Neurospora crassa OR74A: one gene and its partners. Each later gene encodes a partner of the first gene's protein in a complex. Links are inferred from orthologs where the notes say so. Each region holds a gene or a part of one and is shown on either strand. Other genes may lie near its edges.

What was found.
Region 2: NCU06768 (region 1) and NCU04171 share a complex: the UniProt entries of both Schizosaccharomyces pombe proteins name them as parts of the mitochondrial large ribosomal subunit. The link is inferred for Neurospora crassa OR74A from reciprocal best matches to the Schizosaccharomyces pombe genes mrpl16 and mrpl7.
Region 3: NCU06768 (region 1) and NCU07549 share a complex: the UniProt entries of both Schizosaccharomyces pombe proteins name them as parts of the mitochondrial large ribosomal subunit. The link is inferred for Neurospora crassa OR74A from reciprocal best matches to the Schizosaccharomyces pombe genes mrpl16 and mrpl51.

Annotation. Positions count from the first base shown.
Region 1 is NC_026502.1:2,003,427-2,006,358, forward strand, and holds NCU06768 (mitochondrial 54S ribosomal protein YmL47), read right to left. Parts: upstream 1,775-2,932; 5' UTR 1,539-1,774; coding exon 1,098-1,538; intron 1,014-1,097; coding exon 872-1,013; intron 803-871; coding exon 636-802; 3' UTR 501-635; downstream 1-500. Other genes in the region: NCU06769 (activator 1 38 kDa subunit), read right to left, coding at 1-87; NCU06767 (replication factor C subunit 1), read left to right, coding at 2,255-2,360, 2,423-2,468, 2,525-2,566, 2,630-2,932. UniProt on the Schizosaccharomyces pombe protein: Component of the mitochondrial ribosome (mitoribosome), a dedicated translation machinery responsible for the synthesis of mitochondrial genome-encoded proteins, including at least some of the essential transmembrane subunits of the mitochondrial respiratory chain.
Region 2 is NC_026505.1:5,079,212-5,083,133, reverse strand, and holds NCU04171 (mitochondrial 54S ribosomal protein YmL7/YmL5), read right to left. Parts: upstream 2,511-3,922; 5' UTR 2,236-2,510; coding exon 1,979-2,235; intron 1,843-1,978; coding exon 1,158-1,842; intron 955-1,157; coding exon 838-954; 3' UTR 506-837; downstream 1-505. Other genes in the region: NCU04172 (hsp70-like protein), read left to right, coding at 1-204; NCU04170 (hypothetical protein), read right to left, coding at 2,903-3,922. UniProt on the Schizosaccharomyces pombe protein: Component of the mitochondrial ribosome (mitoribosome), a dedicated translation machinery responsible for the synthesis of mitochondrial genome-encoded proteins, including at least some of the essential transmembrane subunits of the mitochondrial respiratory chain.
Region 3 is NC_026503.1:4,406,050-4,409,218, forward strand, and holds NCU07549 (mitochondrial 54S ribosomal protein MRPL51), read right to left. Parts: upstream 1,942-3,169; 5' UTR 1,761-1,941; coding exon 1,719-1,760; intron 1,635-1,718; coding exon 1,552-1,634; intron 1,250-1,551; coding exon 958-1,249; 3' UTR 506-957; downstream 1-505. Other genes in the region: NCU07550 (triosephosphate isomerase), read left to right, coding at 1-329, 393-421; NCU07548 (hypothetical protein), read left to right, coding at 2,441-2,702, 2,809-2,936, 3,023-3,128. UniProt on the Schizosaccharomyces pombe protein: Component of the mitochondrial ribosome (mitoribosome), a dedicated translation machinery responsible for the synthesis of mitochondrial genome-encoded proteins, including at least some of the essential transmembrane subunits of the mitochondrial respiratory chain.

The DNA.
Region 1 (2,932 bases):
AAGTGACCGTAACCTCTCCGACAATTCGGTATGATAGGTGAGGGCATCGAGAGACCTCGGCCTGTGCTTGTCAACAATAAGCGCCATCGTGGTGTGGTGATATTGTGGAGAGGAAAATGGGTTGACAACGGAAGGGGAAAGAAATGCTGGATTGGAGGTGCATGGGAGACGCGTCGAGTTGACGCGCCGTCCAGAAAATCAATTAACAGATGACGGGGGATGGCCGCACGGACCATATCACCCGCTTATACAGGCCCTGGGGTAGACAGTTGCCCACTTTCGCCATCAGTATTCTAGGCAGCTATCTTGAATCTCTTTGAGTTTTGCAACGTCCGATGCTGGATATTGGATCTTCCATGAACCGACATCTAGTATAGGGCCCATTTCATGGCATGGTTGAAAGGGTATATCTAGGAAGCCAGCATTGCTTGTTGACTCGATGTGGTGCTCTGGCCCATCCAGGTAAACTGGTAGTAGCTTACGGACACATTCTCAGAGCATTGAAATCAAAGTGGTGATGCTTGTTACGTCGTCATAATAATCATGAAATGGCCATGGCAACACTCTTTTGCACATTGGCCCTTCTGTTGTTCTACATAGTGTTACAATTAGAATAGGCTCAGGGTTCTCCACCTCTACGAAGGAGGAGCAGCAGTGCTTGATGTGCTCGCAGCACTCTGGGTAATCTCTGGCATCAACAACTTCTTCCTTGGGTTCTTGAGGTCCTCCACCGTGAGGCCATCCTCCAACTTGGTGATGCCAACCACTGGTGGGTCACCCTTCTTCACAAACTCGTACAGACCTATGACTTGTCAGTTTTCTACTCTTCTCAACCTCGCAAAGATTTTGGGCCAGCATGTGCTGTTATTACCTGGAAGCTTGTGTCCGGCCAAACGGAAGGCATCACGGATGACCTGTTCGTGCAATTGCCCCCTGATCTCGAAGATAATCTGGTTGACGGCAACTCTGGTCGCCCAGTGGTCGAACGAACCCTTACCCTTACCCATACGCATCTACACCGGAAATGCATGTGAGCCTCATGTCCGCTAACAGTCGGCATCCGGCCTTCCCGGGCTGTGGGTTGTTCAGCTGCTCACCTCGTTACCGCTGACGTACACACCGACGTTACAAGCAACGCGCTTGTACAGGCGGTACTTCTGACCACGCAACCTCTGCTTGATGGTGTCCTCGGCGAGCTTGAGCTGTTGGGCGCTAATTCTGCGGTGGTGATCGCGCATGCGCAGGCCGTAATCTCCCCAAACCACTGTTGTTCCTTTGGTCGAACCACCCGTCGGCACTCTGGGCCTTCCCTTCATCATCTTCTTCTTTCTGTTGAGGTTGGGCTCGAGCCACGAACCAGCCTGGATGGCGGTCGCAGAGAATAGGCGGACATGGGAGGCGACGGAAACGGGGGTCGGCGCAATGGGGCGACGGACGGCAGAGGTTGCGAGCGACGCGGCACGGAAGGGAGTCGCCGACGAGGATATCCTAAGGCCCTGGAAGGCGCTGAGGAGCGCCGAGGAAGCGTTGTGCTTCATTGTGTTGAAGGTTTGGGTGTGGACCGGACCGGGGAGGGGACGAGTGGTGGACGGAGGACGGAGGGAGGGTCCAATTGGATGCCGGTCGCCGACGACGATTGATACGGATTCCCCGAAGCAGCGCGCGCACAGAGACGGGGACCGGGCAGAGCGACTACCTGCAATGGAAGGTGCTGCGGGCGCGGACGGGGCACGGACGGCACTTCCAAAAATTGTGACCCACCAAAAAGTGTCGGGTGCCGGCCGCGACATGGAATCTGCCGGACACAGCAGACAAGCGGGACCTGGGACTCATTCATTGACTCCTCACAAGAAATACAGCTGCGTGGGCGTAGCTCAAGGCAGCAAGTTGGCGAATTCTTGTAGGACAAGGCCCCACCAGTCGCGACAGGGGAGCAGAGCCCGGACACAGACTCGCGTCATCCACTTCACCTTCGCGTCTCACTCATCATTCAATTGTTACTTCCGTCTTTACAAGGGACAAGAGTCGACCCGTTAGCTCTTTACCCTTCTAGGCCTTTTGTTCAACAACACTTGTTAGGCAGAAGGACAGCTGCCTGGACAACTCAGACACCAAGAACAAAAGTCCCTACTTCCCAACTCCGCCACTATAAGAAGATGCTTGCTGGTGTCATCTGATTGTTACATCTTCCCAACCTTTTGACACATTCAATTTATCATTTTGTATCCAGTGATTTCTTCTCACATACTCCATCATGCCTGCCGACATTCGCTCGTTTTTTGGTCCAAAAGGTGGCGCGCCGCCTGCTAAGCCGGCAACACCAGCACCCAAGAAGGAAGAGGAGAAGAAGACCCGGGGTAGTAAGCTTGAACCATGATCGCCATCACAAGCTTATCACGTTATATTAACAATCTTGTCGCAGGGCCAAGAAAGGTTGTTGAGGACAGCGAAGATGACGAGGTTGTTGAGTAAGCTTAGTGAAAAGCATCTCTTCTCAGAACTAGCATCTAACCAGCATGTGTAGAGTCAAAAAGCCAACCAAGGCTGCGCCAAAGAAGAAAGTAGCGTAAGTGTTTATGAAACACCTCTCAGTTCCATGTCATCCTATTCCTGCTGACAGACTATCTAGGGAACCCGTAAAAGGAGTTGAAACCGATGCTGCCAAGTACTTTGCAACCTCAAAAACAAAAACTGCTGCTGCGTCCCAGTCAACACCGAAAAAGACACCCGCAAAACCCGAGCCAGAAGAACCAAAAGTAGCGCTTCGAACAAGCCCGCGGAAGAAAGCCACCCCCGCTGCCAAAGCACCAGAGCCTCCCAAGACTACTACAAAGAAGACCTCGACTACGAAGAAACCCACGACGGCCTACAAGAGTTACGACAAGGATGACGATGGCGATGCCTACATGGATGATGAGCACGATGCTGGAGA
Region 2 (3,922 bases), on another chromosome or scaffold:
TCGGAGAAGGTGAGGCGCAAGGCTACGTATGCGCTTAGCAGTGCGGTGAGGAATTATCAGCCGGCTATGGATGTCGCGGCGGACGAGATGCATAAGCGCGGTCATGAGGTTTTGGTGAACAACGGGACCAAGGTGGATGCGGCGGATATGGATAAAGTGGATGAGGTTATTGACGTTTTGAGAAACAAGGCCAAGTCTGCTTAGAGCTGTCTAAGGGGATGAGTAGGTTGAGGGTTTGGGGTTCATGATGGGGATGACCAAATGAAAGGAAAATGGGACTGAAAAGATATGGTTTTGGTTTTGGCATTGGAAAAGGCGTTTGGTTTTTTTTGTTTGGAGATCCTTGGTTGATCAAGACGAATGGGTTCTGTTGTCATAATATCTTGACCTGTTCTGTGCAAAGCTAGACTGGGATATGGATATGTGGTTCTAGACTTGGGAGTTGTTTATGAAGCAGATACCCTTGACGATGTCCGTTTACACAATCCAGTTCACGCAATGATGACACCCTTCCAATTGTTTTACGCATTTGTGATTCTACTTCTTTGATCTTTGACCGTCAGACCCGGTGGTATTGTTCTTCTTCCGTTTCCTTTCCACTTCGTCTATAAGCCTCCTCCTCGTGATGTTGTTACAAAAGGTATATATACACCCAACATACATCGTCCTTATGTGGTTAGTGTATTCGTATTGTACAAGTTTCACACATCTCCTCATCCTCCTCAATTGTCATCCAACAACTATCATGATGCGAGATGTTGTTCATCATCTTCTCATCCCCCTTCCTTGAATCTCGTCCCTTTCTCAACCTCTCACGATCAACAGCCCGTTTGGCGCTTAGTTGCTGTAGAAAGGAACGCCGAGGGACTGGAGCAGAAGCTTAGCCTGCCTGTCGGAGGTGGCTGTCGTCTTGATGGCGATGTGGCAACCGGGAATCATCTTGGCGGGGTACATCTGGAGAGGATAGAAAGTCAGTAATCTGTCGTCAAGTCCAAGAAAACAAGAAGACGAAGCAGACGGTAGGGCCAAAGCCGGAGCCAGAGCCGGAACCAGAACCCTCCCTACTGTAGCTTCGGCTCCGGCTCCAACTCCAAACTTTTGTTCTCCTCCGTCCTCTCTTTCTCTTCCACCCATCATTTCCCAAGAAACAAACTCACATCATAGTTGCATTCCACCTCGGGAAAAAGCTGAACATCCTCCGGATTCAAACCAAACTGCACATTACCGCTTCCATCACCCGTACTCGCCGGCACGCCCTTCCAATCCTTGATCCGGGGGAGAACCAAATGGATCAACCGATCCATAAACTCCCACGCCGCGTTTCCGTAAATCGTCGTCTTGCAACCAGCCGGTTTGTTCGCCTGCAGCTGCCACTGCACCACGTTGTTCTTGGACCTCGTCATCTCCGGCATCGTCCCCGTCATGGCCAGCAGCACCGCCCGGGCCACAATCAACAAGTCCGGGTTCTTGAGACCGAGCGGCACGAAGGTGGAGACGGTGATTTCCTTGATCTCGGGGATGTTGCGGAACGAAATGTCGCGCTCGCGAATGGGAAGCTCGGGGGCACCGCGGGGCGCGCGGCGGGCACGGTTGGCGAAGTAGGGCGAGTCGCCCTCCCAGGCACGCAAGCGCTCCGTGGGTTCCTTTTTGGGCGTTCCCGGGGGTGTGTGGATGTAGGCCAGGGTCATGAGGTCCGAGGCCATGACGGTGCGGAAGGTTTCCTTGAGACGAGGCATGTTGAAGGGGCCGGGAACGAAGTCGCGGGCGATAGGGTCGGAGGAGGGAGGGGATTGGATGGGGTGGAGGGGGCCGCGGTTGTACTTGGGGGGGTGGTATTGGTATCTGTTCGGTAGGAGGTGAGGCATGGTGGTTAGCAACGTTTAAACATCTTGTTTATGGTTTGCGTATATGTATGTATATATACATGTGTGTGGCTAGCTATGTAAACCACGGGACGGAGGGAGAGTGTATAACGCACCTGCTGCTAGGCAACCTCGCCTTCCTGTCGGCCGCGCGCTTCCATGGCCTGAACTCCTTCTTGTCCTCTTCGCTGGGGATGGGAGCGTCCAATGCCGACCGTGTCTCAAGCTCGGCGAGGTCGGGAATGTTGGATTTGGGAGTAGCGGCAGCAGCGCCGGCACCAGTTTGTGTCGAGGCGCATCTTCGGACGGCGAACTGAGCAGAGAAAGGCTGAAGAGCGCGAGCCGATCGCGAGACCCCGCGGAGACTGGCCATGGTGAATTAGGATACCGAAAAAAGAAACCGGCGTTCGGGCGGACGCTCTGGTTTCGGAATTGGCGACCGTGGAGGTTGTCGCTTCGGAGTGGTGGTTGAGGAAGAGGGTCCGGCGCACGCGGGAAATCGGGGCCGAAGGTCTGTCACGGACGGGCAGAGGGCAGCGAGGTTCCTTCTCCGGCAAGCGCAAGGTCCTGGTCCCGCGTCGAGGCTCGAAGAGGTGCCGGTCCCCGTTGTGCCGCCCGCCGGAATTTTTTTTGGAGCCTCTGCGGAGTCTCGAACCGGGGCCAATGCTTGGCAGCACGGGCCAAAGCTGGATGAGTTTGGGGTTAGGGATATGAGTCTGTTACCCCTGAAAGCGTTCCTGGACCCCTGAGAATGCATCTGATGTGGTTGATGAACTCTAAATAAAGCATGGATTTGGAAATATATCACTATGTTTGTACCAATATAAGCGATTCAGATCAGGATTCCAACACATTAAGACGACATGTATGATTAGATTAGGAGACACTTGTATATGCGTACGCTTCCTTTGCTCGAAGTATCCTCCGAGCCACTAATAATTACATCATTCCGCGCACACCTTATCAGCATGTCTAGCAATAACAACAAAGTATGTAACGGGGAAGAAAGAGAAAACAGAAAAAACATCCAAGTATCATCATCACCGTCCAAGACTACGTCCCCATCGCCTCTCAATATTCTTCCGCCCAGAGCCGCTTCTTCTCACTTGTCCCACACCCCCATCACCATCCCATTTCAACTCATAATCAGACTCCCCATCTTTGCCCAAATTGGGTAACTTCACCTTCACCATCCCCTCGTTTCTCCTTTCTATACTCCTCCTAGCAGGAGAAGTAGTCCCAGCCGGCTGAATACTGTAAAGCAACAACCTTGAGCCAGCACCGCAGAACTCCGTCTTATCACCGACGCAGAACGACCTCTTGCACTCATACAGCTCTGACGCCGCCACCGCCGTGTCCGCGAGCGAATTGCCGCAGTAACACTCCTTGCCGAACTCCACGCCAAAGAGACTGTAGCCCCTCGACTGACAGCGTTCGTGGCACATCTCGACCGTCATGCTCGTGCTGTTGGTGTACGAGTGAGCTTTGAGAATACGAGCCGTTGAGTTGTCGATGAAGCAACCCTGTGGCGTCGCCAAGCGCCCGTTAACCACGGACGGGTTGACGAGCCGGGGCGTCACGTAGTTAGTTTGTCTGAAGACGTCCAGACGAGCGCGGCCACCGCAGCGTGTTGATGGGTCACCGGCGCAGGTGAGATTACAGCCAGTCTGGCCGAGGCTGTAGCCGGGCTTGAACTCGAGACCACAGTAGCATTGGGATTGGAACTCGAGGCCGGCGAGGGGGTAGTTTTGCTGGGCGCAGTAGTTAAGACATTTTTGAATGGTCATGCCGGCGCTGTCGTATAGGTAGGTGCCATTGAGCGCGCGAGCAGTAGGCGCGGCGGTGTTGGAGTCACTGGCACATCCTTGGTAGTCCCAGTTCACAACAGCAGGAATTGTAGGCGAGGCTGAGGCGATGTTCGTGGTGGAAGTAGTGGCAGCAGTGGCGATGGTCGTGGTGGCTTGAGTAGGGGCTGTAGTAGCAACGGCGGCGGCGGTTGTAGTAGTTGTACTAGTTGTAAACAAGACTGGGGTGGTGTTCGTAGTAGAACTAGTAGCGGT
Region 3 (3,169 bases), on another chromosome or scaffold:
CAAGGACACGCGCCAGGCCGGCGAGACCATCAAGTTCGTCGAGAACCAGCTCGCCGCTCTCGCCAAGGAGATCAACGACTGGAAGAACGTCGTTATCGCGTACGAGCCCATCTGGGCCATTGGCACCGGCCTCGTCGCCACCAAGGAGCAGGCCCAGGAGGTGCACGCCGCCATCCGCAGCTGGCTCAAGCAGAACGTCAGCGACAAGGTTGCTGAGGAGACCCGCATCCTCTACGGTGGCTCTGTCAACGCCAAGAACTGCAAGGACCTTGCCAAGGAGCAGGACATTGACGGTTTCCTTGTTGGCGGTGCCAGCTTGAAGCCCGAGTGTAAGTACTACCTGCCATTGTTGCAACGAGAGGAAGAAAGATGGCTAACATGATATGATGCAGTCGTGGACATCATCAACGCCAACCTGTAAATTACTTGCCCATAAAAAGTTATAGCTTTGCTACAGCCGCAATCATATAGGCTGGGAAATGGTGTTGAGGACACGGCGAAAATATAAAATAGTTAAATGTCCTGATTTTGTTCGATTTGGGATTGAAGAACGTAGTTTCGCTTCATGTAGCCCGTTCATGACTTCTGTGACACCAGATACCGCAACTCCGCGGCTCCTCCATTCGCTCTTAGATGTTCATCCCAAGTTCCAATATCAACAGTCAACCACCAAGCACCAGAAGATAATGTCAGATTCTTTGGAACTGGGGCAACTCATCATGGGAACTCGATAGCTCTGGAAGGACTTGATCACAACCATATAGCCAAACCGAAACCCTTGATACATCCAGAAACCCTTTTCATGTCCTCAATTCATATTCATACATTCAACATGGTATATACAATCCACCTGGTACTGAACCGAGCCAACACCGGCCGAGCACCAAATCCAGCCCAGCACCGATCCAGTCCATTCCAGCACCAGCACCAGCACCTGCTCCTCCCCCTTTTTCCGCTTTATACAGCCATACCCTGCCCATGGTAAGGCGACCAGACACCTCTGACACTGGGGTTCGTGCTGGTGACGGGCTTCTTGAACTTCTGGGGCTTCTCGCCGCTCGCGTCGCGGAGGAGCTCGGCCTTCTTGAGGATCTCGAGCGGCTCCATGTTGCGCACGCAAATGGCCTTGGTGCGCCCGTTGATGTAGTGGCCCATGAGGATCGGGTGCTTGGCGGGCCGGGGAGAGACGACGAACTCGATTTGCGGGTTGGCGGCGGCGAATTTGGGGAGGAGGGATTTGATGAAGCCGCTAGATGGAGGAAGAAGTAAGTGTTAGTGAAAGAGTCTGTCTGCTGAGGTCGCGAAGGGAGACTGGAGGGATAAGGAGGGACGAGGAGGGACGAGGAGGGACGAGGAGGGACGAGGAGGGACGAGAAAAAGGGTATGTAGTGGTGGATGGATGGATGGATGGATGGTCGGGGACGGCGGGATGGTCTCGAGATCTTGGGAGGATGTCGGTTTGGTTGGACGTGTAGAGGTATTGGTATATGTGAAAGATGTTCGATCGGGAATGAGGTTGCGATGTCCATATTCGAAGAATCCTAAACGTACTTCATGCCCCGGGAGCTGCCGGCCCAGTCACTGTAGTGGATGTCCAACTTCTTGCACTGCAAGACGAATGCGCCGACGCCATTCTAGATACAAAACAATCAACGATTAGCATTCTTTTTTTTCTGAAAATTAAAGTTTTTAGTTGCTCAGGCTGCGGTCTAACTTACACGGCCGGCAGAGGAGATCTGCGTCAATGCTTTTACCGTCATTGTTGTGATGCTCTTCTTCTTCTTCTTCTTCGCCGCCGTCCTCGCCTTGCAACAAGTCCGAGTCCACCAGGGTTCATGATCCGGAGGGCGGGTGCGACTTGAACTTCTGCCAGACTCCCGCCCCGTCGCGCGCCGGCACGGCACTGGGGGTGGGGGACCCGCCCAACTGCAAAAGCGGTTGGCAGAATCAATTTCACGCGATTGCACTCCTCCTTGGGTGTGTGCGTAGTGATAACGAAGACGACCTAAGGGTGCACGGTCCCTCTTTCGCACTCAGTCGTTCGGTGGTCGAGCGCGCGAGAAAGCTGCCCAGCAAGAGCTCCAGTCGCTGCGAGGCTGCCAGGCAGTGGACGACACAACACCAGACAGGGCCCTTTGCTGCTCCCGCCTCCCACCCTCTGTCTCTCGTCTTCAGCTGTCCAAGCAAAGTCGCGAAAATGCGGGTTTGACCTTTCTCGCAAACCGACAACACCACATTATCGCCATCACAAGAATTGGCAAACAGTAACAGCGTTCAGCCTTATTGAACTGTTCTCGCCCGGCTTTCCGAACAGTGGATCAAACGCCAGACGACCTACATTTCCTGGTTTCCGACATATCGATTTCATAATTCGACGACAGATAAGATCAACAAAAAAACACCACTTGACCAGCTACAACAGCGACAACGTGAAGCGACAATGACAGACCGGCTCCCGCCTAACCTCCTCGCACTCTTTGCGCCCCGGCCACCTCTGCGCTGGGTGCCGCCCTGCGATGTTGCTCCCGAAGAGCGCAAGTCGGCCTTCATCACCCCCGTTGCCGACTTCCTTCCTGCCATGCAGGCCTACGAGCAAGAATACGAGTACCATCCCACCGAGAGCTGGCTGGAGGCGCGCGACCGCAAGAAGCGCGAGAAGAAGGAAGCTTTGGAGAAGCTGTTGACCGAGGGTCCCAAGAATTGTACGCGGCAAACCCCCAACGTTACGCGCAGTTGTGCTCGCTACTCCTTTACTTGATCATGATCTTGCTGTCGTGCGGCTTGCTAACCGATGGCGTTTATCTGTAGACAACCCTAATGACGATCCCAACATCAGAGGAGATGCTTTCAAGACGTTGATAGTAGCGCGTCTTGACTACCGTGCTGATGAACAGGATCTCGAGCGCGAGTTTAGCCGCTACGGTCCTATCGAGCGTGTGAGTTTGCAAACCCCCCCTCCTCCTATATCATGATTTCACAGCTATGTGTGTGTTAATTGACAAGAACTGACACCAAAAAACAGATCCGTATCATCAGAGATACCCACGCCGATGAGAACCCAAACAAGAAGAAAAAGCCCCATCGTGGCTATGCTTTTGTCGTTTTCGAACGCGAAAAGGACATGAGAGGTAATGACCAGCCCCCCTTGACCCCCCCCCCCCCCCTCTTC